Linked DNA regions of Ovis aries. The protein of the gene in region 1 purifies or fractionates together with the protein of each later gene. This does not show direct contact. Links are inferred from orthologs where the notes say so. Each region holds a gene or a part of one and is shown on either strand. Other genes may lie near its edges.

The links.
Region 2: the proteins of SLC7A1 (region 1) and STX4 purify together in Homo sapiens (co-immunoprecipitation; 3 studies listed by BioGRID and IntAct, counting the BioPlex papers as one, with this or other methods). This does not show direct contact. The link is inferred for Ovis aries from reciprocal best matches to the Homo sapiens genes SLC7A1 and STX4.
Region 3: the proteins of SLC7A1 (region 1) and HS2ST1 purify together in Homo sapiens (co-immunoprecipitation; 3 studies listed by BioGRID and IntAct, counting the BioPlex papers as one, with this or other methods). This does not show direct contact. The link is inferred for Ovis aries from reciprocal best matches to the Homo sapiens genes SLC7A1 and HS2ST1.

The regions. Positions count from the first base shown.
Region 1 is NC_056063.1:31,272,306-31,282,313, reverse strand, and holds part of SLC7A1 (high affinity cationic amino acid transporter 1), read right to left. Parts: intron 9,410-10,008; coding exon 9,251-9,409; intron 7,562-9,250; coding exon 7,387-7,561; intron 5,259-7,386; coding exon 5,137-5,258; intron 4,632-5,136; coding exon 4,409-4,631; intron 3,710-4,408; coding exon 3,570-3,709; intron 1,124-3,569; coding exon 1,021-1,123; intron 1-1,020. UniProt on the Homo sapiens protein: High-affinity, low capacity permease involved in the transport of the cationic amino acids (arginine, lysine and ornithine) in non-hepatic tissues.
Region 2 is NC_056077.1:27,669,604-27,679,626, reverse strand, and holds the start of STX4 (syntaxin-4), read right to left. Parts: upstream 4,960-10,023; 5' UTR 4,675-4,959; coding exon 4,645-4,674; intron 4,458-4,644; coding exon 4,356-4,457; intron 4,243-4,355; coding exon 4,143-4,242; intron 4,008-4,142; coding exon 3,933-4,007; intron 3,431-3,932; exon of another isoform or gene 3,206-3,430; coding exon 3,135-3,205; exon of another isoform or gene 1,498-3,134; coding exon 1,389-1,497; exon of another isoform or gene 1,318-1,388; coding exon 1,241-1,317; exon of another isoform or gene 675-1,240; coding exon 537-674; exon of another isoform or gene 1-536. UniProt on the Homo sapiens protein: Plasma membrane t-SNARE that mediates docking of transport vesicles. Necessary for the translocation of SLC2A4 from intracellular vesicles to the plasma membrane.
Region 3 is NC_056054.1:64,003,942-64,014,049, reverse strand, and holds the start of HS2ST1 (heparan sulfate 2-O-sulfotransferase 1), read right to left. Parts: upstream 5,050-10,108; 5' UTR 4,662-5,049; coding exon 4,538-4,661; intron 396-4,537; exon of another isoform or gene 300-395; intron 1-299. UniProt on the Homo sapiens protein: Catalyzes the transfer of a sulfo group from 3'-phospho-5'-adenylyl sulfate (PAPS) to the 2-OH position of iduronic acid (IdoA) or glucuronic acid (GlcA) within the heparan sulfate (HS) chain and participates in HS biosynthesis.

The DNA.
Region 1 (10,008 bases):
AGCCAAAAGGAACAGCGCTCCAATCTCCTCCACCAGCTTCAAAACATGCAGTGCTTTATGCATTCTTCTGCATAGAATCTAAGAGTGAGTATGAAGATACTTCACCATTTTTTTTTTCACTGATTCACTTAATAAGAAGGCTGGGGGAGACTCGGAGAAGATTGTAGCACTGAGCTCTTGGGAAGAAATATGTGGTCGGAAACACTAGCTCTAGCGGATTCTCCAGAGCCACTACTGAGGCTCAGCCCAGGGACGGTAGCTGGAGAGCAAGTTAGGGATGGAATCCATGGCTTGGCAAGATTAAAGCCCTGCAAAGTAGGGGGGGCCTCTCGCCAGGAGACCACACTGGATGTCTATGCTACCTGGGGTCACCCCTGGGAGCAAGGAAGCAGAGCCCTGTCTCCCAGAGCAAAGGAAAATTGGAGCAGGGTGAGCGTGGAGAGAGGGGCGCTGTGGCGGGCAGGAGCCCCAGGACACTGAGCCCCGGCCCGGATCTGCTGTCACGGCCCTCCACGGGGCTGGCCCTGTCCGGACGAGACTCAAAGCAGAACCTGGAGAGTCTTCCTGCACATCACCCCCAGCCCTCCAGGCCCTGTAACGGCCCTCTCACCTCCATGGAAGCATCAGTGTCCCCAGTTCTCCCAGTGCCCACTAGGGCCAGGCCCTAGTCTCCGGTCCAAACTGAGATCGTTACCCTCAGCCTTCAAAAATTCCGATCCAAAGATGCAGCCCCCAGCCATCAAGTTGATAACCTGTCTCTGTCTTCCGGACATCCAGCCAGAAAAATCAGAGCATGTGAGAGAGAGAGAGAGAGCGGTCGAGCCACCCCGGACTCCTTTCAAGGCTATTCTCTGTAACTAGACTTTCAAGCACCAGGTCCCACCCTCTCCCAAGCCGTTCCCAAAGGAATGATCCACAGCTTCAAGTTTACAGCGTATAAACCGTTAACACGAACTGGTAGCAGGAAGCTGGCAAAGGACGTCTGCTCTTCTGTCCTGGAACCCAGAAAGCCACACCTACCGTAAGACCAACACGCAGGCAGCCACCAGAGAGTAAGCCAGGAGAGTGCCGATGGACATGAGGTCCACCAGGTCCTTCAGGTCGAAGAGGAAGGCCATCACCGCTGGGGAGGAGGAGACGAACATCAGGATGGGTGTGGGCCCGAACACCGTGGCAGCCAGAGCCGCCACCCGCCCGCGACCCAGGGCACCTGGGAGGGCCTCCCCTTCCCCCTGCCAGCCCTTTCCATGAAGAAACGTGGCAGCACCGCTTAAAAGGAAGGAAAGTTCCGGATTAAACCACATACACAGCTCCCAACAGACAGTAACAATAAACAACATTTATACAGAGAGAGAGCTTTTATCAACATGACCCTGGTGACCCCCATGGCAACTCTGCCAGCCTTCCCTGCACTACAGATGGAGAAAGCCAAGTCCAGACATGTTGAGAGACTTACCTAAGTAAGGGCACACAGCTAGTAAGTGGAAAAGCCAGGCACTGAGCTAGGTTCTTACGGCTCTGGGGCAGTCTGCCTTCCTCTACACCATGCAGACTCACAGAGAGACACGCACATCTACCCATCCACCACCCATCCACCACCTACCCATCATCTACCCATCCACCATTCAATGGCTCTCATGAGCACGCCAGTCACTGGGTGCAAGGTGTACGCCGCTGAACTTTGGTCTTCCCAAGAATACCACCTGAGGCCTGCATCAGGAGGCAACAATGATGAGGAGCTGCGTGAGGGCAAGTCCGGGATGGCTGACAGGGGCTCCTAACCCAGAATATGGGCATGGAAAGTGATGGTATTCCCAAACAATACCAGTCCCTTCACCACAACCCCACTTAACGCAAAGCAAAACATGCAGTCTTTTTTGAAAATCGTTCCTAGATTTTTATAAGTGTATGCACGTCTGTTTATGGGGATATATGTGTCAAGTTTCCCACTTAAAAAATAACTTGGCTGGATCTACTTTGGGATACTTTCAAAACACATGCAATCAACACAAGTTGAAATATAAACACAAAGCCATTACTTTTCCACAAATACTTCTCAAACCCACACAAACCATGGCAACTAAAACAAATTCAAATTGAGGTTGACTAACAGAATTAAAGAGCAGCGAGGGCCTACTGGATAATCAGAAAACCCACTGCGTGTGTATCAAATGCTTACGTCCTCACTCCGAGAAACCTGAGCCAAATTTCGCCCATGGGAGGTGATTCTTAGAAAACTAAAGACTTGTATATCACTCTGACCAAATAAAGAAAAAGCAAACCCTTGGTCTGGTGATACAAGAACTTTACAGTGGCTTTAAAGACTGTAGTTTCATCTCCCTTAATCAGCACAGGAAGGAAATTAAGGCCAGTCTTCAGTACGATCACATTACATGTGAATATTGGAGGAAAAAAAGAAAAAACACTCACTATTTCCAGTTCCTTAATCCCTTAAACACATGGGTCACATACTGACACACGGTGTCCCTTAACCTGCCCACAGCGATCATGCTCGAGAATGCAGACTCATACAGCACACGTGTGAAATAAGAAAAACTGGCTTCCTTTCGTTAAACAACATTGACCCATAAAAGTAAGCACATTTTGCTAAGGGTGTGAATGCTGTTAACAATTCACTCATCAAGAGGGTCAAACGCCTCCCCTGTGGCTATCTGACAAGTCCCTGTGATCCAGCTGTGGCTGGCACGTGTCCTCATTCACCACAGAGACCTCCTGCTCCACACATGGGCTGGGAGGGCCCAGCCAGCCTGGCCCCAAGACAAACCAGGAACCGAGAACCACTGCTGTCCTCCCTGGGCGTGCATCCTCACTTCCCCCTTCTGAGCCTCCGCCTCTCCTCTGTGCACCTGCCTCTGGGCGGTGAAACGCGACTCAAAGAGGAAACAAAACCAAGGGTCTCTTTCCAGGGCTGCCCTGCCTTTCAAGGTGCACACAGAGGCCCAAGGGTTCCCCAGCCCGCCGCTCCCTTCTGTCCTCTTGGCGAGGGACCTGATAGCGATCCGTCAGCTCCACCTCCTCTCTCCTGCCATTTGTTGTTCATAGGCTCAGGGCGGAGGGCTACCCCAGACACACCCTCAGTGTCCCCTGGGGAAGAGGTGGCATGTTTTATAAAACGCTGATCGTAAGGGATTCTCGCTTCCTAGAGAATTCACGAGCTAAGACACACGGACGGTGAATTTCCAGCACCGACAAGACAGGGGATATACTGTGAAGGACTTTACCCCACCAAGGTCTACTCAGGGACACCTGGGGAAGGGGCAAGACACAGCTCTGAAGGGACAGTGTACATGCCGAGCTCAGTCCAGTGAGACGGTAATCACTGGAAAATGCGACCTGTTTGAGAATTCCATTACATCCTCTGAGAAACTAGCATTTGCCTTTTGTCAAAAGGCACTCAGTTACCTTGCGACAAACCAGACTCCAAGGGTAAAAACCAAACGTTAGAAAGACCAGTCGCAACTTCTCTCAGACGGGCACAGGCCAAGACATTGCCTTAGGGAGTAATAACTCAGCCGTTAAAATGCTGGATAGGAGATTCCAGTTCTTACCGGCAATGGCACCCGAGGTTAAGGTGGCGATTATCGGTGTTTTGGTCCTGTCATTGATTTTGGCCAAAAATTTAAACAGCAGCCCGTCTTCAGCCATGGCATAGATGACTCGAGGCATGGGAAACATGGAACCTAAAAGACTAGATGGGAGGAAAAGCGAACTGCGTCCGTAAGAGAGCTTGGGAGAATAAAGGCATCGCAACAGGTGTTCACACCCAGGAGAGGGAGCCGGCTCCAACCTGGGAGGCCCGCGGCGCGACACGCCGGGCCCGGGGGAGCGCTTGCAGCAAGTCTGCACGTGTGTGTGAGTGGGAAACGCCTAGCGTAAACCAGCGTGGCATCTAGACACAGTGCTATGGAAGAGATGTTCTGCGTTTATTCCCGCGATTATCTCCAGCTGAATCAAAAAGAAAAACGTCACTGCCTTCATGAAGATCTCCCTGAAGTCCACAGCGGTTTCCTGTGTGTACAGGCTAGCAGGGAGCATGAGAGCAAAGTGACTCTCATTAAAAGGCGTTTGCGGCACTTGCTCCTTTTCAATGGTAGCCTCTGCTTTATGGCCAAAATAAGGGCCAGAGGCAGTGCTCACAGAGGTGGCCTGGTCTGGCCAGTGGCCACAGTCAGGGACAAGAGACGCAGCCCTTGCTGAGCCGACAATGATGAAATGTGGGCCTCAGGCTATTGAGATGAACGTCCCTAACGCAAAGACAGCCCCAGGGATTGATCGAGAGCAGCCCAAGGGGAGAAGTCCCACGATCGGGGCTGGGTTGGGCTCTACTTCAAGGGGAGAGAGGAGTGGTCACGGCACACCCGCCTTCCCGAGCGTCTCTGCCCCTCACCTGGTAGACAGGGCGCAGAGGGAGCCAACGGCCACCGCATACTTGGCTCCCTCCCAGCCCACGTGCTTGAAGGCGTCTGGCAGGGGGCTGTCCTTGTCCAGGCAGAAGTAAGGCATCATGAGGGTGAGGGCGGCCGACACCCCGAAATAGGCGATGAAGCAGATGAGCAGGGACGCGACGATGCCCACGGGGATGGCCTTCTGTGGGTTCTTCACCTCCTCCCCTGCAAGGCGGGAGGAGTTCAGCCGGAGGGCTTGAGACCACCCTGCAGCTCATGGCCCTGCAGGGCCAGGGCCCTTCCAGGCTCCGGGGAACCCAGGGGAGAGGCCCTCAGACCAGACACAATACCCAAGGGCCCAGGGAAGGTGCTCTCAGCCTTTTCGCTGAGAGTCATCGTGGAAAAGAGAACACACTGGAGGCTGGAGCCCGGCCCCCTCGAGTGCCCGGACAAAGTCGGACTAGGTAGCCACACTCCCCCGGAGCGCACATGGGGTCTGCCGCCAGCTGCAGCCACGGTGCCATCACCCCGGGCCCACACGGGACAGGCAGGCAAGTTCCTGTCGGGCAGGCCACTTGGGGAGCAATGAAAGGGGGATTGGCAGGAAGGTGCAAACCCACACTCGGGCACTCAGGAGCAAATGGGCAGCGGCAGGCATGCACACACCCGGGGGAGGGGAATCAGACGCCTGGCCAGGCGAGCCCAGGTGTCCCGAGGGCGGTGGACCTACCTGTGGTGGCGATGCAGTCAAAGCCCACGAAGGCATAGAAGCAGGTGGCTGCCCCCGACAGGACACCGGAGAACCCGAAGGGCATGAACCCACCGACACCGGGTTTCCCTTCCTCTGTGTCACTGAAAGAGAGAGCCTCCGTCAGGGTCACAGGCCCCTGCTTCGTGGGCCTGAAGAGGAGCCACCCTGACGGCCACCCCGAGCAGCTAGGCCCAGTCCTGCAGCGTCCCCCGTCCGGCAGGACAGCGGCCCCGGGGCTGTGGGCAGACGTAACTCCAGGACCCCACTGGTGGCCAAGGGGCCAGGAAACAAACACCTCTCTGGCCAGAGGCCAGCGCGGGTCATCACCGCAGGGATGCAGAGCACGGGGATGGCCAGCGACAGGAAATCCCATCAGCTGGCAGAAACAGTCTCTTCAAAACAGCATGAATGCCCTGTGTCATGCACCAAACTGGGACAACCCTGAGGGGTGGCATGGGGAAGGAGGTGGATCCAGGATGGATGGGAGAAACACACACACCCGTGGCTGATTCATGTCAGTGTATGGCAAAAAAGACTACAGTACTGTAAAGTAATTAGCCTCCAAATAAAATAAATAAAAAAAAAAAAAAAAAAAAACCAGTAGAAAGGCTAAATATGGACAGACAACCAGGAGACAGGAGGCGCCCTCTCCGCTCAATTCTTCACCGGCTCACAGTGACTGGTGAGGGGGCCCGTGAAGCTTCCTGAGTCGACTGGGTTACTCTAAAACATATTTCAAATTGGCCCTACTTCGCCATGAATTATCGGGCACTGATAAATTTGGCACGAACAAGACCCAGGAATGCTGGGGAGTGACTTAAATTTAAAAGCTCTCAATTCTCTGTAGTCACGTTTCGTCCCAAAAAGGCAGGCTCTTTTTGTTTGAACTGTTGACCACAGGGTGTTAGAGCTAGTTTCACGGGTTCGTTTCCTGCCTGCGCTCCAGTTAGTGAACCAGCTGCTGATAAGTGCCTGCCCACGGAGCAGGCCATTGGAGGACACGCCGGGCACCAGGCCTTAATCAGAGGTCAACCCAACATGTGACCACTTGGCTTTCCGGCCTCTCTTGCAGCTGAACGTGGCCCCCTACTGGATTCTGGCCAGGGGGATGTGGGCAGGAGGAACACGTCTTCCGGATCTGAGCGCACGGGCCTCGGACTCTGGCCCCTGGTGGGAGAGCTGGGTCATGCCTGTGCCCACCCACAACCCAGCTCTGACCACACTGTGTCCTTGGGGATAATGGGTCAGCGAGTCGGGCAATCGGGCCCCTGAAAGCCTGCACGTGTCCATGCTGGCCAGCCACCCCCAACTGATCATTCCTGGAGCTGAGATATCCTTGTAAAGCCACTGCATTTTAGGATGATCTCTTCAAAGCATCAGTTTAACCTTTAGCCACAATTAAAACAGAAATGTAAATAAAATTAGAACTCCCCATTCTCCATCCTAAGACCCTAACATGTATCAAAAAATCTGACAACAAAAAAAAAGGTCAGAAAGATCCACTCCAACGTTTTGCTTTTGTTTCCCGAAACAAGGTGAGCTTGTTGGTAAGGGCGTGCCCAGAGGCCTGCAAAGGCACAGGGTGGAGAGCTGGCCGGTCACCTGCTTCCAGCCCTGGGCGTCCTGAGCCCAATATGGAAGGACACTGAGGCCATGGCATCTCAGGGCTGAAGCGGCCCACGTGGAGTGAGAGTGAAAGGAGTTGTCATCATCACGCTGTGATAACCTCAGTTGTTCTGAGAAACTACTCTGAAGAACACCTGAGATAAAAAGTTCTACCGACCTGTTTGTTCAAGGTGATCAGATAGGAAGGCATTTCAAAAGAAAGCAGCATCCGTGTGGAACCGCAGAGGAAAATCTTCCTTTCCGAAAAGGAAATTCAGAGTTCCATCATCAAAAAGGATACAGGGAAATAGGGACAACTGAGGGAGCCTGACCTCGGTCCTCACCGAGGCAGGGTTGGAATCAGCATCCAGAGATGCCGCTATTCCCCCAGCATCTTCCTATGTCGTACAACCGACAGTCAAATACAAGGCAAGAAAACACAAATTTCAGACAAAGGAGACACCCTCAGCTATCTGACTGCAAAAAAAAAACAGTTCAGTAGTGACAAAATATCCTAGCTCAAATTACATTTTTTAACAGAGACTGTTCTGGACTGTGTTGTGGTAGCCAAGGTCCGCCCCAGCCGCACCACGCCCAGGCGCCCAGAGTCAGAGGGACACCCACTTGTTCAGGCAGAGGTGACCCGACGTGTTCTGGAAGTCCTCCTCCGTGAGCTGCCAGTTTTTAATTGATCCTTTCACAAACCCCGACACCATGATGAAGCCCAGCACCAGAACGTTGACACACGTGAATATTTTGTTGACCATGGCTGACTCTTTCACACCCAGAGTTAAAAGTCCTGCAAAAGGGCATAGACAGAAACGGCCTCAGTGCTGACCTCGGGCCAGCAAGTCCCTCTGGGGTGGGGGTTGGGGACGAGAAGGTGACGTTAGAAGAATCTGAGCAGCGTTAAACCTCCAAAGAGGAACGAGGCTGCAGTGACTCTCATCCTAGAGGCAGGGATCAAAACAACCCAAGTCCACGGGGTGTTGAACAAAGCCATCAGGGCTGGACTTCCAGCCACCTTGTGGAATTGAGACAACAACCAGGAGCACCCCAGGGACAGCAGGGCTGGGGACGTCTGAGCCAATGGCTCCCCTCAATAGCAAAGCCCTCCCTGGGATGAAGGGAGGCTCTCCCTGAATCTCCATCACTGAGAACCACCCAGTGGGTAGGAGTTCATTTCCTCCAAGGAGACACTCTGTTCAGTGTCTTGAGAGAAAAAAAGAGTTCTCTAGACATGGAATCATTCAGATGCTCTGTGGGGTGTTAGCAGTGTCCGCAGCGACAACCACCTGGGGGCCCTGCCACAGAGTCCCCTTCTTGGGACTCAGTGCACGTAGCACGTCTGAGCCAGACCAGCTCTACCTCGAAAACTCGAGATAAAAAAAATACTGGGTGAAAAAGCACAGGTGACGCTCCGCAAGCTGCAGGTCCGCCTTGGGGGATGCAGGACACACTTCTGTGGTGCACCCTCGGCCAGGGGAGCAAAGAGTCAGGGAGGCGCCCAGTGGCACGGGGCCACCGATCTGACTGCGTGTCTCTTACGCGTTCTAACGTAAAAGATGCTCTACGTCATAGACTGATTTCTGAAATACAGGCATTAGAAGGGCGTGGAGCAATTCAGGGAACACTTCACACTCCGCGGTGTTTGTTCTTCAGCCTCCCTCCCTCCTGTCCTTATGAAAATCTCACTCGTGAATACTTAATTTCTGATCTGTGTTCCTGCTAGCTGGACCAGACATACCGCTGAGACTGGCCCTGTGCAGAACGATCTCAATTACGTGTGTAATTAGGTGTGTAAAACAAGGCACCGATGCTTTTAAAACCCATCCAAAATCTTCTAACCTCAAAAGAAAATTTATCTGCATTTAAGCTTAATGTGTACATTAACAAAACTCCCAACTGGGTGGCAGAGACTCAGGTCAACATCACTAAGAAGAAGATACCATCAGCTGTGTTCAAACCCTGTCTGCAATTTTAAAATTCTGTACCAGCAACTTTGTGGGGAAACTTCATGATATAAGGAGGTGTTTTGCTGGCTGGTTGGGTGCAAACCACCTCAGCTGTCTCCAACCCCAAGGTGCAGCGAGCATCGGGCCTGGTTCCTCCATGTCGTCCTGGCTGACGAAGGCCAACTCTCCTTTCTAAATGGTCATCCGCTGAGTCAGAAGAACTTGTATTCCTGGGTCACCTGTACACAAAGCCCGAAGCCCTAACAAAATCCTACTTCACAAACACTTAAAGCAAACACCTGAGAGTCTCTTTTAATTAAACAGCGCATAACTTGACCTATTCAATAGGCCAACCCTCTGCGAATCTCTGAGAAGCCATTTTGACAAAAAAAAAAAACAAAAAACACAACAGATGTCTGCATCAATTAAAGAAGACAAGAAAACGGGGGGATGGGAGGAAGAGAAAAGGAGGGAGCCTGAGCCTCACTCCAGACTCCCAGCCCCCTCCCGATGCACCCGACGTGTGACCGTACCTGTGAGGATGAGAATGATGATCACGGCGAATATGTCCGGGTTCTCGGCCAGCACCCCGGGTGCGTGCAGGGCCATATGCTTCCGCGAGAACTCCCCAATGGGCTTCCCAATCAGCTCATCAAATGTCGCACTCCAGGCCCGAGCTACGCTCGAGGTACCTGCCGAGAAACACACCATCAGATGGAAGAGAAGGCAACAGTCAACACAGCGCCTGTTGTCAACACCTGCAGGACCCACAGGGGCTCACAGCCTGCGGGTGCTGGGGAGCAGGGGACCCCGCGGCAGCCACTGTACCCCAGGACGTGTTGACTCAGAAGGGAGGGCCGGTCGGAATCTGCAGAGAAGCCAGACATAGGGCCTCAGAAGAGATGCATTCTCCATCACAACCAACAGAAATGTGTGTGAGGATGAGAGAGAGAGAGAGAGAGAGAGTGTGTGTGTGTGTGTGTGTACTATGTGTTTTGAACCTATGTGTAGCTGAATCATAGTAAAATTTAACAAAATAACACCATCCTGACCGCCAAACAGGCGCTCTGACAGTACTGAACTCTATTTTATTTCACTATAACAAGAAATCCTGGGGACAGACAATTCAGGGGACCTCACGACCTGCCCCTGCAGGTCTTGGCTGCAGTAGGCAGTGGGGGCCACGTTCCTCCCTGAAGACCCTCAACAGTGGAGCTGACAGGGCCTGTCTCCCAGAGGGGGCCGGGGGACCAAGGACAGCGGCTCAGGGCTGGCCCCCTCCACTAGCAGC
Region 2 (10,023 bases), on another chromosome or scaffold:
CCAGCTGCCGGAAAGCCCTCCCTGTCGCTGCCTCCTCATGGTACCACCAGGCTTCAGATCCTGGACTCCTACAGAGTGAAATCTCTCCCTCAGGACTCCCAGCTGCAAAAGGGCACTGGGGTCAGCTCCCCCCAGATGGGGCTGGAAGCTCCCCTTATCATGAGATAAGGGCTGGGGGAAGAATACCACCTCCCACCCCATCCTTGTCTACATTTTAGGAGGCAGGCCCCTCTAGGGGGCAACTAAAGAGCTCTTAGGTGCGTAAGAATGGATTCTGTTGCTGGAGGAGCCAGGGTTGGGGCCAAACGTGGTGTGGGCTCCAGTTCAAGGGATGGGGTACAAGGTATAGAGCAGTAATCATCTGAGTAGCTAAGGATGAAATCTGGGAACACGGCTAAGGATGGAAGTAAGGGCCAGTCTGGAGGGTAACAAAAGCCCTGGTGAAAGGGGCTAAGTGTGGAAGCAGGCTGGCAGTCAAGACACGCTCTCACATCTGGGGACTGGGTCAAGCCCAGCCAGCGGCCTCAGGCACCCACCTGCATCTCCACTTCAGTGGCCAAAAAAGTGAAAATCTCATGAAGTTCACGGATACTGCGTTCCAGCTGCTGGATCTCGCTGTGTCGGGCCGAGATCTCATTTAGGGCCTGTCGAGTCACTTGTGTGTCCTTCAGGATCTGCAGAGTGGACAGGAGCGATGGGACAGGTCACAAGGAAATCAGCGGCACGTGTAGAAGTTCCTGTTCAGCTTCGGGGCAGCCCTCGGGCCTAGAACTGGGGCCCAGGCCTTAATGAGGGATGCCAGGCAGGCTAATATGTTCCATTCTGGGCCTCAGGATTCCCTCCATGAAAAAGGGCCAGGAGGGCTTCCCTGGTGGCTCAGTGGTAAAGAACCCGCCTGCTAATCCATGAGACACCAGTTCGATCCCTGATGGGAGAAGATCCCACCTGCTGCGGAGCAACTAATCCTGCACGCCACAACTACTGAGCCTGTGCTCTAGAGCCCAGAACCACAACTACTGAGCTCATGGGCTGTAGGGCCTGTGCTCTAAGAGAAGCCACTGCAAGGAGAAGCCCATGCACCACAACTGGAGAATAGCCCCTGCTCGCTGCAACTAGAGAAAGGCCTGCACAGCAACGAAGACCCAGCACAGCTGAAAATGAATAAATAAAATTTTTTTTTTTTAAAGGACTCAGAGAGGATGGGGGGCCCAGCAGAGGGAGCCTGGTGGCGGCCACTCACATTGGACACAAACACCTCGCTCTGCCCGCTGTCCAGCATCTGCTCCAGCTCCTCATCAGACACCATTCCAGCATTTGCTGTGAAGGAAAAGGCCAGGCTCAGAGCCGGTTGGGTCAGCTGACCCTGTGTGCCGGGCACCACAACTCACTGATCTTCAGCTGCCTCCGAATCCGCTCCACGTTCTTCTCCCGGTATTCAGACTGCATTAAGTTGCACTTGTTGATGAGCTCCACGAATTGCTGGGACAGGACCCCGTGCTAAGGAGGGAGAAGAGAAGCTGGGGACCCCTGGGAGGATCCCTGCCTGGTCTGGGCCTCAGCAGCCCCTTGGGTACAATGAGCAAAGAGCATGAGCTCAGAGGTGCCTATGGCCTTGACCTCCTTGAAAGGCTCCCCTGGTCTCTCAAAGTAAAAGCCAAAGCCCTTCCCAGGGACTACAGGGCCCTACAGGACCCGCCCCTTCCCACATTCCCTCTCTCATTTTACGTCCCCACGTCCCCACGCTGTCTCCCTCACTCCTTCCCTCCAATCACAGTGGGCTCCTGACTCCTCCCTGGTCAGAACACAGCCCCACGTCAGGCCTCTGCAGTTGCCATTTCTTCAGCCCAGAATGCGCAAGCCCCACAGAAGCCTGGAAGTCTTTGTTCCAATGTCACCTTCAGAAGTTTTCTCCACCTTGTTGGAACCTGCCTTCTCCCGCTGTTCTCAATCCCTCTTCTCTTTTCCCTTAATACTTCTATTTCTACAATAATTGACTAATTTATTATGGTGACTCTCCCCACTGGAATGAAATCTCCATGAGGATAGAGATCATTTGTTGACAGCTGTTTCCTAAATAGCTAGAAAAGGGTCTGGCATACAGTAGGCCCTCAAAGAATATTAGTGGAATGCTTGCTGAACACCAGCCTCCCTGCTTAGACTAAAGGTGTGCCAGGATTTTGCATTTCCCAGATTTTGCAGGCCCACCTGGGCACTCAGCCTCTCACACAATGACTACCACAAGCCCCCCACCCCCTGTAAATGCCTTCCCTGCTTGTCCATTTTCCTGATGCCTAAAATCTGCTCATTCCTTGGAGTTCCTTTCTCCAGGACACATCTGCTGTCCTGGGTTCAGTTGCACCCTTTCAAGATGCCCAAATTGTGGGGGGGCAGTTCTTGAGGCACTAGCCTACTGTGTTCCCCCCTTTGTTTGGCAAAGTAATAAAACTACTCTTTCCTTCTCTTCCATTAAAAAAAAAATCCCCAAATTGTTTAATCTTCAATCTGGGGTCTTTGCTGATTTCTGGGCCCACCTACTCCAACTCTGACCTCCAAGAACTCCAAACCATGCCTCTCTGGGCACCCAGAGGACACTGCTCAGACCATTTCAAATCTCCTTATTAAGATGATGATTCAGTGACCTTCCCCATACACACACACCAGGGAAGTTCCTCTTCCTGACTTGAATTCTGTCCTTGGGGCAGAGGATGTCCTCATCACATGGGTAGGAAACCACCCAGTCACTTGACTGCACCCTTTTTTTCCCTGGGCAGAGCCATTAACTACCAAGTCCTACCTGAGTAATGTCTTTGTCATCTATGCAAGCTTAACTCCCCATCTTGGCTTCTAGAAAGTATATCTCCTACAACCAAGCCCAGATCATGTCTGGGGTCTCAGCAACTTCTCACTGAATGGAGGAGAAGAAGGCAAGGTGTTATAACAGATTGGAAGTCAGGAAACCCGGGTTCTTGACCTTGGGGTAAATCCTTTTTTATCTCTGAGCCTCAGTTTCCTCATTTGGAAAATCATCAGGTTGGATTTAATGATCTCTAAGAGCCCTGCCTTCTTACATCTGCCATCTAATGATCTATTGAACACTTGCTGAAATGTCCTACTTCTGGGAATAATGAACCCACCTGGGTTTTTCTCATTCTTGTGTTGACGGAGTTATAATTCTCATCAGCTTCCTCCTTCTGGGGCTCTATGGCTGTGGAAAGACACAGAAGTATTGGTAGAGGAGGGGGTTTGACCTCTGGCTTCTGAAATTCATTTGGGGACTGGGACCCAGCCATGCAGCCATACAATAGAGAGAGATACAATATCTCCACAGAGCTTTTTTTTTGAAATAAAATTCATCATAAATGACTACTCTTGAGCCTCTGACAGGCAAAAGTATATTTTTCTTTGCAATAAATACATCAGAGAATTCCCACATGTTTGGAGAAGCTTCCTAACAAAACCCACATCTTCCCACCCAAAGAATACACACTGGGCAGCAAGAATTGTAGGAGTACAGATGATCCTTGCACAACTGTGGGTCCACTTATACCTGAATTTTTAGAAAATAAATGCATACTACAGTACTACACAATCCATGACTGCATGAATCCACCCTTGCAGAACCTGGGATGTGGACGGCAGACTATACAGTTATATGCAGATAACGACCTGAAGGTGGAGGTAGCAACGCTAACCTCTGCCTTGGACAAAGATCAAATGGACATGGTTTCATTATAAATAAGGGAACTTGAGAGGCAGGCATATGCTGTGGAAAGAACTTTGGACCGAAAGCCAGGAGATGGAGATTCTAGACGTTGGCCTGCTGTGTGACCTGGATATATATCACTGGCCTCTCTGGACCACACACTGCCCAGAAATACCAGGAGTTGGGCAGGATCAGAGGAAAGTATCTGGCTAAAGTCCTAGGAGCTCACCCTTCAGCTGCGCGCGGATGTCCCTCCCTAGCTGTTTGATCTCGTCACGCAGGTTCTGCAGGTCCTGCTTCATGCCTAAACAAGAGAAAGCCATGATGCCCAAATAGCAACCTCTACCTCAACAAATCTCCCTGGCCACCACCTGTGTGGAACTACAACCCCCACAAGCCTCCAGCTGAGCATGCGTTCTGCACCCGGGGTTTCACTCACTCTCCTCGGGAAGGGGCGTGGCCAGGATGGTGACCTGCTGCTTCTCCAACTCTCGGACTTTATTCTCTAGCTTGACGATAGTCTGCCGAATTGTCCGAACCTGGGGACGATGACCGAGAGGGCTGAGGGAGATGTGGGCGCTGCTCCAGGCTGCTCTGCTCCTCGGGCCCTCCAGGCCCCTCGTGAATCCAGGCCGAGACTCCAGCCTCTTACCTTCTGGAAGAACTCATCGTCCGGGCTCCCCAGCCGTGCAGTACCCGGGTGTACCACCAGCGCGACTCGCTCCTTGTCTTCATCGTCCGAGCTGTCATCCCCCTGCCAGGGCCGGGGTCACTGGCATCACTTCCTTGCTACTGCTCTCCCCCAGTAGAACTCACGGGCTTCCGGGACTTTCCTTCCTAGCCCACAGTCATCCCTCCCGGCCCCGAGGACCAGGAGTCCTGCATTCCAGTAGACCCCATCCCGTCCACCCGTCCCCAACCCTGCTGCGCCAAATTCTCACCTGCCTCAGCTCGTGGGTCCTGTCCCGCATGGCGGCCCGAGATCCCTCTCGCCGGCGCCGGAGCCCGGCGGGCCTCAAGATTCTAAGTTTGGAACTCCCGTACCCAACTCACACTCTGACACTCCCCTCCGCCCTCACCCTGCAGGCCCCAAACCCTCCCCCAAGAGTCGCTAGAGGCTCTGTCCCTGGCACCATTCACAGTTTCAAAGGGAAGGAGCCGACCTCGGGGACCCCCAAGATTCCACAGGTTGGAATTCCCTTTTCTTTCCCCCCGCCCTCTCCTGTAGCCTCAGCCCCGCCCCCTCTGGAAAGACTGGAGCATGCGCACCGGATCGCGTCCCTTCCCCACCCCAGGGAAAGGCCGAGGTCGGAAGCTTCAGCGCCCCGAACGGAAGCGAAATTGCCAGGACGTGAGAACCCGCCCCCTTTGCCGGAACTATCGCATCTTCCAGCGGAAATCTAGTTGCCAAAAGGGGTGGGAATGCGTCATTGGTACGTGATCTGTGAGGCCCTCTCAATTCGCATCACCCCATAGTGCAAACCCCCCCGCGCGCGTCATGTGACCGGCCTGGTCCCAACCTCTCAGACCACGGAACGTGACGCTTCGACTGTCACATGTCTCTGCCCTGTCAACTCCATCTCTGGAACACCCATCTCCCCACGACGTCCTCGGCACCCCGCGCGCGAGTTACCTCTCTTCAGAACCCCCGCGAGGCGGGGAGGGGGCGCTGACTACCCCCAGAGACAGTGGGTGGTAGGACCCAGGCTGAATCCGGCTTCCTTTCTTTTGGGTCCGCGAGTGTGGGCAGACTGAGGACTTAGAATTTGGAGCTGTCAACATCATGAGACCTTGAAATTCAGAAAAGAATAAAATACAGCGTCAGAGACTTGCGAGATTTTGTAGGCAGAGCATCTGGGGGTGGGAAGTGACCTCACCCGAGGCGGAACTCTCTTCTCCCGCATACTCCTGGCACAGTTTCTGACAGGTGGGCGGCTGGCTGGCGCCCGGCTTGAACACTGCAGTCCCGCTGCACTCACCACCTTTGAGCAGGGCATTTCAGGGCAGCTCGGGCTTAGAAAAAAGTCTGTTACATTGAGCAGCATGTCACTTAGACAACCCCCTCCCCAGACCCCCACCTTGCACTGGGGGTCTACCCTCTGGAACCCACAAAAATATTACATATTATCGTGGCCTGTGAGTTACTAAAGTGAGGGCATGATTGTGGACAGAGGAGCCTGGAGGGTTACAGTCCATGGGGTCACAAAAGAGTCGGACACGACTAAGTGACTAACACACACAAATTGTAGCCCACCAGGCTCCTCTGCCCATACAATTTTCCAGGCAAGAATACCAGAGCGGGTTGCCATTTCCTCCTCCAGGGGATCTTCCCAACCCAAGGATCGAACCAGCATCTCTTGTGTCTTCTTCACTGGCAGACAGATTCTTTACCACTGAACCAACTAGGAACCCCAGCACATGTTAGGCCCTCAGTAAATATTTGTTGATAGAGTCTTAGCCTCTTATATAACTGAAGATGAAGCTTATGATTCCCTGGTCTTCTCTTTTATGCTTCAGGCTTTTGGTGACACTTCCCTAACCCTAACCCTGTAGGCATTTATTCATTCAGTGGATATTTATTGTATGGGCCAGACACTGTTTTAGGGCCAGAGATATAACAGGGCAGACAAGAATGGCTTGCCCTTTTGGAACCCACCTTCTATAGAAGGATGCCCCAAAGTCACTCAGTGAGTCTCAGAATAGCTGAGAGGAATATTAGTTCTCCTGGATCCCAGGATGTCAATAGCCCGGGTGTCTCTGCCAGGGATTCCATGCTGCTACTCCTCCAGGGTCTTTCTTCCTCTTTTCATCTCCTGAGCCCCACCGTGCACCAGATCCTTGCCAACTCCTGCCCATCTCTCATGTCTTCACTTGGATCTAACATACCATGTATTTTGCTAATTTGTGTTATCTATTGTCTGCCTCCACCCCTCCTCTCCATCCTACTAGAATGTAAGCTCCAAAAGGACAGGGATTTTCACCTTAATTATTCACTACCATGTCCCCAGCACCTGCAACACTGCCTGGCACATAGTAGCTGATTAATAAATATTCATGAAGGAACGAATTTTTTTTTAACCACATCATGCAGCTTGAGGTATCTTAGTTCCTCAACCAGGAACCATGGAACCCAGATCCTTGGCAGTGAAGCATGGAGTCCTGACCAGTGGACTGCCAGAGAATTTCCCAATTTCTTTTGTTTTTTTAATTAATTTATTTGACTGCATTGGGTATTAGTTGCAGCACTCGAGATCTTCTGTCATGGAGGATCTTCTGTTGTGGTGCATGGACTCTCTAGTTGTAGCATTTGGGCTTCTCTTCTGGTTGTTTGGAGGGCTCCAGAGTTTGCGGGCTCAGGAGTTGCCCCACGCGGGCTTCGTTGCCCCACAGCATGTGGGTTCTTAAGTCCCCAATCAGGGCTCGAACCTGTGTCCCCTGCATGGCAGGGTAGATTCTTAACCACTCGACCACCAGGGAAGTCTGCCCAATTTCTTTTTAATTGACGTTTACTTAGCATTTACTGTGTGCCAGGCACCGATATAAGTACTTAATAAAAATTTACTCATTTCATCCTTATGTACATTCTGTGAGATTGGTACTATATTACTGTCCTCATTTTACAGAGGAGGAGGCTAAGACACAGAGGCAGTAAGTAACTTGCCCAAAGTTACACACTAGCAAATATGAGAGCCAGGATTTGAAACCAGAGAGGAAGCTCCAGACTCTGTGCTCTTAACCAGTACACTATGATCCAAGAAAAACACCAGCCAGGAGTGGCTCCCTGTGTTGCACCCACCCTTGGGGGACTTGCCACCACCTATTAATGCTCTACTTAGGATCATCTGGTGGGGAGGTGGGGCCCAACGGCAAGACGAGTCTCTTCCCTTTTCCTGTCATAGGGTCTCCCTTCCACATCTGTTGGGTGGGAACAGACTGCTCGGGAGGTTGTCGGTCCTCCTCTCATTCCCTATTTGCTGTCTTCCCAAGAGCCAAGGGTTTTCCTGGTGGCTCAGACAGTAAAGAATCTGCCTGCAATGCAGGAGACCTGGGTTCAATCCCTGGATTGGGAAGATCCCCTGGAGAAGGATATGGCTACCCAGTTCAGTGTTCTTGCTGGGACTATTCCATGGACAGAGGAGCCTGGCGGGCTACAGTCCATAGGGTTGCAAAAAAGTTGGACATGACTAGAAGACTAAGCACACATACACACCGAAAACCAAGATATCCACGCATGGGTCACATAGGGCTTCTGTGTGCCCTCAAATGTCTCTGAGGCTAGTTTTGTGCCGAAAACCCAAGGGCTACAGCGATGAAGCCCCCACCACTCTCTCCTCATGATGTGTCTTCAGCCTGACCTTAATCACTCCCTAGAGCGCCACCTGGGAACCTCTTGTCTCTCATGGCTTTAATCGACATCCATATTTGGCTCCCAAATCCATATCTCCAGCCCCCACTTTTCTCCAAAGCTCTAGACCTCTGAATCCACTTGCCTTCTGGACATCCCCTCCTGGAGTTCCATGACTGTCTTAAACTCACCATGTTCCAAACACCACACATCGTCTCCCCTGAGAATCTCCTAAATTAACTTCTTGTTTCTCCTGTTTCCTTTCTGTGTGGATGACACCAGGTCACCTGTGCCATAACCTTGGCCTGGAACTTCATTCTGAAGGTGATGCATCACACAGCTGGTTAGGATAACCCCCATAAAAATGCTAGAAAAAAAAATGGACAAAATTCTTTGTAAGTCAGAATGAGGAAGGCCTTTCTAACTACAGCTCAAAATTTAGAAACTACACTCAATAGTTTATAATAACCTATAAGGAAAGAGAATCTGGAAAAAAACAGACATATATATATAATTGAATCACTTTGCTGTACAGCTGAAACTAACAAAATATTGTAAATCAAACTTCAATTAAAAAAATAAAAGCACATTAGAGAGTGAAAGTGAAAGTCACTCAGTCATGTCCAACTCTTTTTGACCCCATGGACTACACAGTCCATGGAATTCTGCAGGCCAGGAAACTGGAATGGGTAGCCTTTCCCTTCTTCAGGGGATCTTCCCAACCCAGAGATCGAACCCAGGTCTCCCACACTGCAGGCAGATTCTTTACCAGCTGAGCTACAATGGATATAAAAAAATTCAGAAAATGTAAAATAGAAGATTAATATATTTGTCTACATGAAAAAGTTTTACATGGCAAAAAAATGAAAGCACAATCAAAAGACAAATTGGGAAAATAATATTTGCAATTCTTATCATACACAAAGGGCTAATCTCCCTACTATTTAAAGAGCTCCATGTAGTAATAATGGAGAAGGCAATGGCACCCCACTCGAGTACTCTTGCCTGGAAATTCCCATGGGCGGAGGAGCCTGGTAGGCTGCAGTCCATGGGGTTGCTAGGAGTTGGACACGACTGAGCGATTTCACTTTCACTTTTCACTTTTCACTTTCATGCATTGGAGAAGGAAATGGCAACCCACTCCAGCGTTCTTGCCTGGAGAATCCCAGGGACAGGGGAGCCTGGTGGGCTGCCGTCTATGGGGTCGCTAGGAGTTGGACACGACTGAAGTGACTTAGCAGCAGCAGCATGTAGTGATAAGACCAACAGTTCAATAAAAAAAACAATGGCCAGAGAACATGACAGATCACAAAAAAAATAAAAACTTAAATATGCAGATGTTCATTTTTGTATGTAAGAGAAGTGAAAATTAAGATAATACTGAGATATATTGCATTAGCAACATTTTTTTTTTCTTTTTTGGCTGGAATGCCAAAGTTTGTGGGATCCCAGTTCCCTAACCAGGAATGGAAACCATGCGCCCTGCAGAGGAAGCACAGAGTCTTAACCACTGGACCGCCAGGGAAGTCTAACAAAATTCATATTTGGCAACCCAGTCTTTTGGCAAAACTGTGGGGAGACAGGGACTTTCACTTGTTGATGGGGCCTGCAAAATGATGTAACCCAGACCATATGTGTCAAAATTCTGAGTGCATATACTGTTTCTTTTCTTTAATATGTGTTTATTTGACTGTGGTGGGTCTTCACTGGGACATGCAAAATCTTTTATTCGTGTCATGTGGGATGTAATTCCCTGACCAAGATCAAACCTGGGCCCCCTGCATTGAGAGTGCAGAGTCTTAGCCACTGGACCACCAGAGAAGTCCCCATATACTGTTTCTGAATTCTGAATGCATGTATTGTTTCTCCAGATTCTAAGGAGAGCTGGGTGGTTTTTCTGCTGGTCTCATCTTAGATTTTTCAAGTAGCAACAATCTGCTTGTACCTTGGCTGGAGTTAGGTGGCCCATGATGAC
Region 3 (10,108 bases), on another chromosome or scaffold:
TCTGACAACCAGAGTTCTAACAGCTAAGTAACTAAGCAGTAACCTAAGCAAATTTTCATTTTGACTCCATGTTATTTTCTATACCTCATTAGAAAAATTAAGTTTGTATAGATTTTAATACTTTTCTCAATGTAATACCCACATTAATAAGTTTGTAATATAACACCCACATTAATATTAATATGCTTGCATCCTAAATTTAACTCACGAGTTGCAGGTTGTAATAAGTTAATATTAAAACAAAAAACACACTCACTCCATTAAATATAAACCATTTACTGCAATTCAGTGATTCTTACCATTAAGGGGATTGTGTACTCCTTTGCAAATCTGATAAAAGATATGTATATAATTTCAGGGAATTCATAGATGCCTTGAAGCCTATATATGAGTCCCTAAGACCAAAAGAATCTCTGATTAGTGGAAAATAATGGAGTCCAAAATTTATCCAAGAAATATGAAAACTTAATATGTGACTAAAACAAGAACTGTAACATAGAAAGGAGGGAAAAAAAGATGAATTATTAATATAATATTTGCCATAAGTGGCCATTCACTGAGAGAAATTACAATAAACATATGATGCTTTAAAGAGCTAAACATAAAAATATAAGCTGTAGAACACTAACAAAATATAGAGAATAATAACATAATCTTGGTTGGGGGAAGACTCCTCAAGCAATGCAAGGCACCTACTTGCCTAAACTGAGAGATTTGACTGCATAAAATTTTTAACTTCCATACACCATAAAGTCAAGGGACAAATGACAGACCTGGAGAAAAATAGATGCAAGACACGACAGATAAATGATTACTACACCTAACATCCTTTTCAAACCCTAAAATTGGTAAGATGAAATACTACCCAACAGACATGAAAATGAACCAGTAAATTATGTTCAACTTAATTAGAAGTCAAGGAAACATAAATTGATACAACAACATACCATTTCACAGCTTTAGAAAAAAATTAAAAGCTAGCAAAAATTAAAAGCTGACAATATCCTGCACTTGTGTGTATGCTGACAGTACAGATTATTATAACCCTTGGGAAATAAATTTTCAGGGAAGTAACAGATTTTAAAATCTGTTAAACTACAATATATATATATATATCTTTTGTCTCAGTAATCCCTTATTAGAATTTATCCTACTGAAAATAGTACCAACAAATAAAGAATTAAATAAACTAATATAAGCATGTTTCTTGTAACACTTTTATAATACCAAGAAATAAAACAGTTTTAAAAAAAAGCGTTTAAGGGGGATAAACTGAGTGTTCATTATTGACATAATGGCTTAAGAATTTATGACTCATGCATACTGTGGAATGTTATACAGCTATTAGAATGAGTAAGTCAAATTTATATTTTTTGACCTGGAAAGATGTTCTGTGACATTAAATGAAAAAAGCAAGATGCAAAGCCAGTATTACGTATACTGTCATTTAATATTCATTGGAAAAAAAAATAACTCTATTATGAGACACTGGTTTTTAGGAATTCCTATTGATATACTTAATGATGTTTAAGGGTTTTTTTAAGCCATAAATGCAAAATGTAATAAATTTGACAACACTTTAAGTCAAAATTCTGTGTGACAGATGACACGACTAAAGTTTCTGAAAAGTGAAAACTGTGTAAGTTTTTCTGATGGCAAAATAAAAATGCTTTTATTGTTTGTGATTTTACACGTACAGAAAACGACAATCTTTTTTTTCCCCCCGTAGCAAAAGTAAGCTATCTATTTCAGTCCTTTCATTAGATAATACAATTATGTTCATTACATGGGTATAAACAAGCAACAGACATTACACTAACCTAATTCCTTTGTGTCAGAAATTGAATTTTCTAAGAATGATATTCATTCTTAGCAATAAATGCAATTAAACATTGGTGCTAGTTTAAAAATTCTATTCAAACCACTACATCTTAGTGTAATGTCAATATAAAGTCCCATGCAGCCTGGTATAATTAAAGGGGAACTTGATTTGAAATCAGACATACCTGGGTTCCAATACTGACTTTGCCACTTATTAGGTATGTAGTCAACTTATATAACTTTTGAACTTGTTCCCACATCTGTAAAAATGGCTTTTTTATGGTGTTCTTGGAAGATCAAATAAGAATAGCAAATATGAAAGGGTCTAGTACAGAGTCTGATTGTCAAAATATGTCTCCTTCTATGTTCCTTTCCTAAGGAAGATTACTGACATCTGCTTTAATACAGGCCGTTTCATAAGACTTTTTTTAAGTCAAAAGACTGCTGATGTGAAGCTATACATTTTATTTGTCATAATTTTACATCTGGAAAAGAAGATGGCAACCACTCCAGTACTCTTGCTTGGAGCATTCCATGGACAGAAGAGTGTGGCAGGTTTACAGTCCACGGGGTCTCAAAGAGTCAAATATGACTTAGCAACTATCACTCACTCAATTCCACATCTCTATTATTAGCTCCTTCTAGCTTTTTGTACATTGGAGAAGGAAATGGCAACCCACTCCAGTATTCTTGCCTGGAGAATCCCAGGGACAGAGGAGCCTACTCGGCTGCCGTCTATGGGGTCACACAGAGTTGGACACGACTGAAGAGACTTAGCAGCACCAGCAGCTTTTTGTACGAGACTCCTTTTCAAGAATTATTTCATTTATTCCATATTTACTATTTCTAACAAAATGTAAGAGTTTCTTTCTTGTAAAAAGTCTTAAAGAAACATGTTATCTACCGAGCCACTACCTCTGGCTTCCTACATTTTAAAAATCATTCAGGTTGTGCCTACAGAAAACAATTTAAATTATTATGGGAAAAAATGTTAGACAAGGAAGGAAAATTAAAATTTGAAGTTATCCCAGCCACCATAATATGTATAAGAAATTCAAAGAGCAATACAACAAAGAATAAATATAAATTTTAATTTAATATAACTTTCAACTTTCTTGAGGAGGAGTCTTTTCTTTCTGTAAAGCTGGATCATTAACCAGACTAGAATATGACCATGAATGCTGCTAATCGGGTACAAACAAAAAGAGTATACTGGCCAACCTTGAAAATTTAAAGTGAATATTTTTCCATCGTATACTATACATATTAATAAAATCATAGAAAATAAATTTGATATCTGTTCAAAATTATACAGGGCAAGTTTTACCTTAGAGTTGAAGAGTGGAATTGTCCCTATCTTCAAATTTATTTGCACTTGTTAATTTATTTGATGTTCTTTGATAAACTGCACTTTAAAATTGTCTCCAGTGCTTTTTTCAAAGTATCAAAATTGCAAATGGCTAGCTACTATTTGTAATATTACACTTATTTTCTGATAGATTTTTCCAAAACATTAATCATCACAGCAGCATACGTTACTTCTGAGTCTAAATTATAAAGCTTCTATTTTATCCTTTGCATTTCAAAACTTATTTTAAATGATGCGGCAGTTAAAGTGTATAAAATACACTTACTAAACATTATTTTCCATATCCAAATTACAGCCTCTTGGGCTGATTTTTAAGCGCCATGTACATTTTAAAATCAAAATGTATTGCTGACATTCTTTTAACACTCCCTCCCCATTCACTCTTCCCAAATGCCACAGTTCCTTACTGCTCTGAAAGTACTTGTCTGTGCATTCGTCTGGTCTTTCACAACAGCACACTCCAACATTTTGTACTTCAGATCACCCCCCAATTAAAGTAACATCTTTTAACTCTTTAAGGTACTTAGCCATACGGTAAACTTGCTGCACTCTTCCTCTCGTTAACTTTAAATTTCATTATAGCAATTCCCCCTCAACGTTTCCTCCCCTTCTAAATTCACTACACCAACATTGCCGCGAAGCAACATGCACATACAACTCCTTTCTTAAGCTCAAAATACCAGTTTAGCGCCACTAAAAAAGAATTTAAATGCCTGGTTACCTCGTTTCAGAACCTCTTGCGAGCTTTTTATTTGCTTTTCTGTCCTACCTGGACAGTCTATTTCTCTCGTCAGTTGCGCGGTCCCTTGCTGCCCCCAGCACGAGTGCAACTCACTACAATGTATTTCTTTTACACACCATCATTCCAGTATCTCCCCTCCATTTCAGCCCATCTGTCCCTTCGCGAACCTCCCCATTCCCAAAAGATTCAGTATCCAGGTGCCCACATCTCAAATTAGAAAACCCCCTGCCTGACACTGCTGGAGCTTTCCGTTTGACTTCCAAGAGAACAGGCAAGCCTGACCGTTACGGTCTCCTCCAACTGTCGGTACTGACTCCCCAACGAATTCGATATTCTCTTGCTTTCTCCCCGTGAAATGCCTAGTTCAGGGTATCCCTTTGGCTCGGGAAAGTCCAACCTTGCAACCTCTGCCCCTTGACCTCGTGAGCCCAGCATACCACCCAAGCTTAATTCACACCAAATGAATTCGGCTTGTGTTCTCTTTCAGCCTCCAGCCTCCAAGCCAGATATCAGGTTAGATAAACGCCCACTTGCTTGGCTTGCAGTGCCTCCCCAGCCTGGCCCCTTCCACACACCACTCAGCCCGGAGTGACCCGGCTCCTCACCTAGCTTCGACCGGGACTCCTCCAGTTTCTGGATCTGGTTCTCCAAGAAGAGCATCGCCACCGCGAAGGCCACCACCGCCAGCAGCTGCAACTTGGGCGGCATCATAATCCTGAGGAGCCCCATGAAACCCGCTGCTCGGGATCAAGACATACCGCGGGGGGCGGGGATCGGGGCCCCGGGGGCGAGGGAGACCCCGGGAGGAGCCCACGGAGCCGGGAGAAAGGCAAGAAGAGCGCGACAGCGAGAGAACCACTGCAGCGACCCCCCTTCTCGCGTCCCCAGTCCCCCGCCCCCAGGCGCCAGCAGCAACACCGCCGGTGCCCGCTTCTCCTCGACCGACTCCACGGCCGACTCCCTCCAAAAGCCCGTGCAGCAAACACAGAGCGAAGCAGCTGCCGGGCTCTCGCCTCCTTTTACTGCCTCAGTCCCCGACCCCCGCGCCCGCCTGCCTAACCGCCTCCTTCTCTTCCTTCCTTCCCTCCCTCCTTCGCTCGCGGACGCGCGCTTCTCCGCCAGCGCTGCGGCTGCGGCTGCGCCGCCCTCGGCCCCGCCCCTTACCCATCCCTCTCCGCCTCCACGCGCACGCCTCCACGTACGCTGCTCGGCAACCAGAGGCTCCGCCCTCTACTCCCTTTCGGTTGAGCTTATTGGGCCGAAGAACTCCAGCGCTTCGCTCTTGGTGCGTGTCACGGTTGGTTTCCTTTGCCGTAGGTGTCAACCAAATCGGCACTCGATTGGGTAAACTTGGAGAAGGAGGCAGGCCGAAACTGGCGAAGGCGGGGCTTCTTGACTGCTTAAGGAAATGTCGTGAATGAAAAGAAGGAGCCCGGGAAGCACAGATTTGAGGAGTTTAGGGAGATGCCTGATGTGAGTTAGCGAAAGGACCCAGTGACTTCATATTTACATCAAGTGTAAAGTTTTTGCTCACCTTTAAGCTTACATATGCCCGTAGTTAATGCCCGTCTCCTCAGAATAAGAGGCTTGATGGCAGCGGCCTTTAGCTGCCTGTTTTGGATCAGGCACTGGAGTAGACGCCCCTAGCAGAGGGGTCTTCTCGGCAGCCGGAGACCTACGGAAGGTGGCGGAGATGGCGGGCCGGCCGGATGGATGGCTTGGCCCGGCGTTTGGGCTGCGACTGCTGCTGGCGACCGTGCTTCAAACGGTGAGTGGAGGTCACCTCTGCTGCAGCCCCAGGGCGAGCGACAGGGATTGCGCTAAGGAAGACGGAATATTCGGTCGCTTTTGGGAAACACAGCTGAAACGGGTGGGCTCCCCCAGCGGTTGCTGCTGCTGGCGTGCGACGTGGCTTTATTCCGCGTTTGAAGATTATCTTTCCCCACCCTGGGTTTCTAGCAGTTCCTTCTTCTGACCTGAGACTTTCTTGAATACAGTCTGTAAGACACACCGTAAAAGCGAGGGGTGAGGGGCGGGAAAGGCACTAAGTTTTGCAAAGAAATGAAGATTGTTTTTAAATTAGCAGAAATGCAAGGAACTGTCGTCTTTATGACAAAGCTTCCTTTCAAGTCTTAGAGGAAAGCCCTCAAGTCTTTGGTCCAGGGTACACTTCCTTTTTACTTCTTTTTGTCATTTGTTTGTGGTCCCTGTAAGTCACTCTTAGTCTTTTACCTCTGTTCTCTGGCACTCACAGGCCGCTGGGTACACCTCAGTATCATTTGTGGTTTTTAAACAACTCTGTTGCAATAAAAGGAACTACGCCATACTAAAACATAATTTATTCTTGAAATTGATTTTCTAAAATGATAGCTTTCATCTCGCTTAAAATCGATCGTTGTCTAACCAAGTTTTTTTTTTTTTTCGTTTTTATCCATTAACAGAAGAGATACCTTCTTTATATTTGAATGGGAAGAGGCTAGTTTCGACTTATTTTCCTATTCACTCACAAACGACTTATTATAAGTTTTTAGTTCGTTCAACTGTGAATAATAAAACTTTTTAATAGGCATCATACTTGGAGTTTTTACAAGTGTCTTTTATCAGCCTAATTTTTCAAGTGTTCTCTGTATTGAGTCTGCTGAGTATTCTCCTAGAAATCTGGTTTGATTAATTTATTCAAGGTTTGGAGGATTGAGGGTCTATACGGAAGGCCTCCGCAAACACCTGGGCTTTTCTTTCATTAAGGAGTTTAAAGATCTTGCCTGTTTACTTTTACAGCCTTACATAAAAGGTGGATTCTTCTCATTAACTTTATAATACTTCATTATTCAGTCATTTGGTGCCTTAGAAATTATTGGAAGACCCCTATCTAAACTTTGTACTCAAGAATTTTTTGTCAGTCTTAGATAATTTGTATTCACCACCATGAAAAGATAGAGTAACATTTCAAGTTGACTTCTTCCGATCTCATTAGCTCTTTAACTGTTTGATTATCTGTGGCTGTGTAAGCACCCCCTATAGTGGCTTAAAATAATGATTTCTCATGATTCTATGTGTCTGTTGAGCAGTTTCTGTTGTTGATTTCTTTTGGTCTCATTTATACCTTCGCTGGTGCCTTTCGCGTCTGTGTACAATGTGGGAAACCTGGGTTCAATCCCTGGGTCATGGGTTGGGAAGATTGCCTGGAGAAGAAAATAGCAACCCACTCCAGTACTCTTGCCTAGAAAATCCCATGGATGGAGGAGCCTGGTGCAGGCTACTGTCCATGGAGTCGCAAAGAGTCAGACACGACTGAGGGACTTTACTTTCTTTTCTTTTATAAGGTAAGGATAATACCTCCTCTTTCATAGGAGGATAAGATTAAATGAAATAATGATGTGAAGTGTTTAGCAACACTTTACAAAGTATCTGGTGCCTTGTAAGAGCTTGTCATTATGGCTTGTCATAATGTTTCTGATACTTGTTTTCTTGGGGCTAGTCTGTAAACCCATGTATTTACTTTTATCTCAGATTTGAGTCTTTTCAGAATTACTATGTGAGAACCCTGTGAGTTTTCTGAGTAAAGAGACAACTAATCATGTGAATGTGTAAGTGTAGTAAAATGTATAGCAATACCAGACTTTTGCCCAAAGGGGTAATGTTGCATTATAGTTATTACAACTTCTCCACCAACAACCCTCATGTTTTTAAAGAACTCAATAACACCAGAAAAATAAATGAATAACGCATAGTCTCTCAGCCTGTCAATCCTACTTAAAATTGGAGAAAGTTGTAAACTGTTAAGTAGTTACCCAGTCAGGGTTATCCCACCCTGTCCTTAAAATCCATGTCTTTCTTACAAGAGTGGCTAATTATTATAAAATTTAGGGGAATTCCCTGGTCATCCAGGCCTCCGTGCTTTCACTGCCAAGGGCGCTGTTCAGTCCTTGGTTGGAGAACTAAGATTCCATAAGCACTGTGGCAGAGCCAAAAATAGTAATAATAACAGTAAAACAAAAAATAAAATGTAATATTTGACCTTACTGTGTACGTTTAAATGCTATTCAGTTAGTTTTATGTAATAAAAAGATGGGTGGGTGTAATTTGTAGTTGAACTCTCCTCTATTATTTAGCCTTTTGTCATAAAGTGCTTTAAAATATGTTCTGATGTTCTTATTTGAGTCAAAGCCTCAAGTCTGGAAAAAATGAATTATGGTAGAAAAAAAGATTCATTCATGAAATTAACGATACCTTCTATCTCCCCTACACTTACCTCTAACCCATGTCTATTATAATGATTTAAATATAGAGTGTTTTTGTTTTCACAGTGGAAGGAATAATTCTAACATTTATTAAGTACTCACTGTGTACTGGACAGGATACTACATGCTTTCAGTACTTTTTCTCCTTTAATCCTCCAAACTCTGTGCAGTGAAGTGAAGTCGCTGAGTCGTATCCGACTCTTTGCAACCCTGTAGATTGTAGCCCACCGGGCTCCTCCATCCATGGGATTCTTCAGGCAAGAATACTGGAGTGGGTTGCCATTTCCTTCTCCAGGGGATCTTCCCGACCCAGGAATCGAACCCACATCTCCCGCATTGCAGGCAGGCACTTTAACCTCTGAGCTGCCAGGGAAGCCAAACTCTGGGAAGTGAAGTAAGTGGTAATTAATCCTGTTCAGGAGTAAGGTTGCTCTGAGTTGGTATTTGAATCAGGATGTCATCAGACTCAAGTACGTTTCGCATGTTCACTCTACCTGTCAGTAGGTGCTCAGTCAATGCCAGAATAAAACCAAGGATTACGATCCCATGAGTTTTCATTAGAGATGCTTGTTTTGTAAAACATGCTTTGGTAACAGTTTCTTACATTTGTTTAGCAGTTCACTGTTTCAAAATGATTCCGCTTTTATTGCCTGTTTTAGTTACCATGGCTACAAAACAGATCACCTGTTCATTTTAACCCAGATTCTTTGGGTTAGCAATTCAGACAGGCACGACAGCGTGACTGTGTTCCACCGTGTCTCAGACCTCAGCCTGAGACTAAAGAGTAAAGTATGAAGGCTTTTTACTCACACATCTAGTAGTTGGTGCTCTTTGTCAGCTGGAGGCCTCAGCTGTTCTCTGCATGGGCCTCTCCACATTCTCTCTATAGTTTAGGCTATCTTACAGCATGGTGGCTAAAAGGTGAGTATTTTAGAGAAACAGAGACGCAGCACCTGCAAGCCCTAATCAAGCAGAGATGGCTTCCTTTTTTATGGCCTACCTTCAGAAATCACATAATTATCACTTCTTGACACCATGTTTGTCAGAATAGTCACAAGCCCCTGCCAGTCACATTTGGGATGATGTATATATTTTGGTGTGGCCATCTTTGGAGAAATAGAAATTAACCTGTGAAATAGATCAAGCAGATCACTTTACAAGTAAAGAAACTATTCAAAGTATTAGTATAGGAGCAAGGGTCTTAGGTCCCTCTGGCTAGACTGGTACACTTGATCTATTTTGATACATTATGATATATACTGTCCCCTATTACTTACATAAGGTAAAGGATGTTTGTATAAGGTATCAAATTAGGATGTTGACTTAATGTAAGGCCAGTGGGATGATTAGCATTTTGGAGGAGTATGCCAGCAGTAGTTAAAGTTTTTTTACAATGAGATATGCCATTTGGTTTTATCAACTTGTTTAGTTAGCTGGTGGGCCAAATCCAGCAATCCTTGTTTTTGTAAGTGAAGTTTTATTGGAACACAGACATACATTCATTTATTACTGTGACTGATTTTGTGCTACAGTAGCTGAGTTGAGTAGTTCCAACAGAAACTATATAGCCACCCAAGTGAAAGTGAAGTTGCTCAGTCATGTCCCACTCTTTGTGACCGCGTGGACTATAGCCCACCAGGCTCCTCTGGCCGTGGAATTCTCCAGGCAGGAATACTGGAGTGGGTTGCCATTTCCTTCTCCAATAGCCACCCAAGCCTAACACAATTACTATGGGACCCTTTACATAAAATTTGCAGACTCTTTGTCTAGGAGATCAATGCGTTACAGTCAATCTGAAATTCCCCCTATTTGAGTCTGTGGTTTTGACCAATTCATCTGCTTAAAACATCTGAGAACTAGCATGTGCCTGCATGCTAAGTCGCTTTAGTCATGTCTGACTCTTTGCAACATTATGGACCGTAGCTTACCAGACTC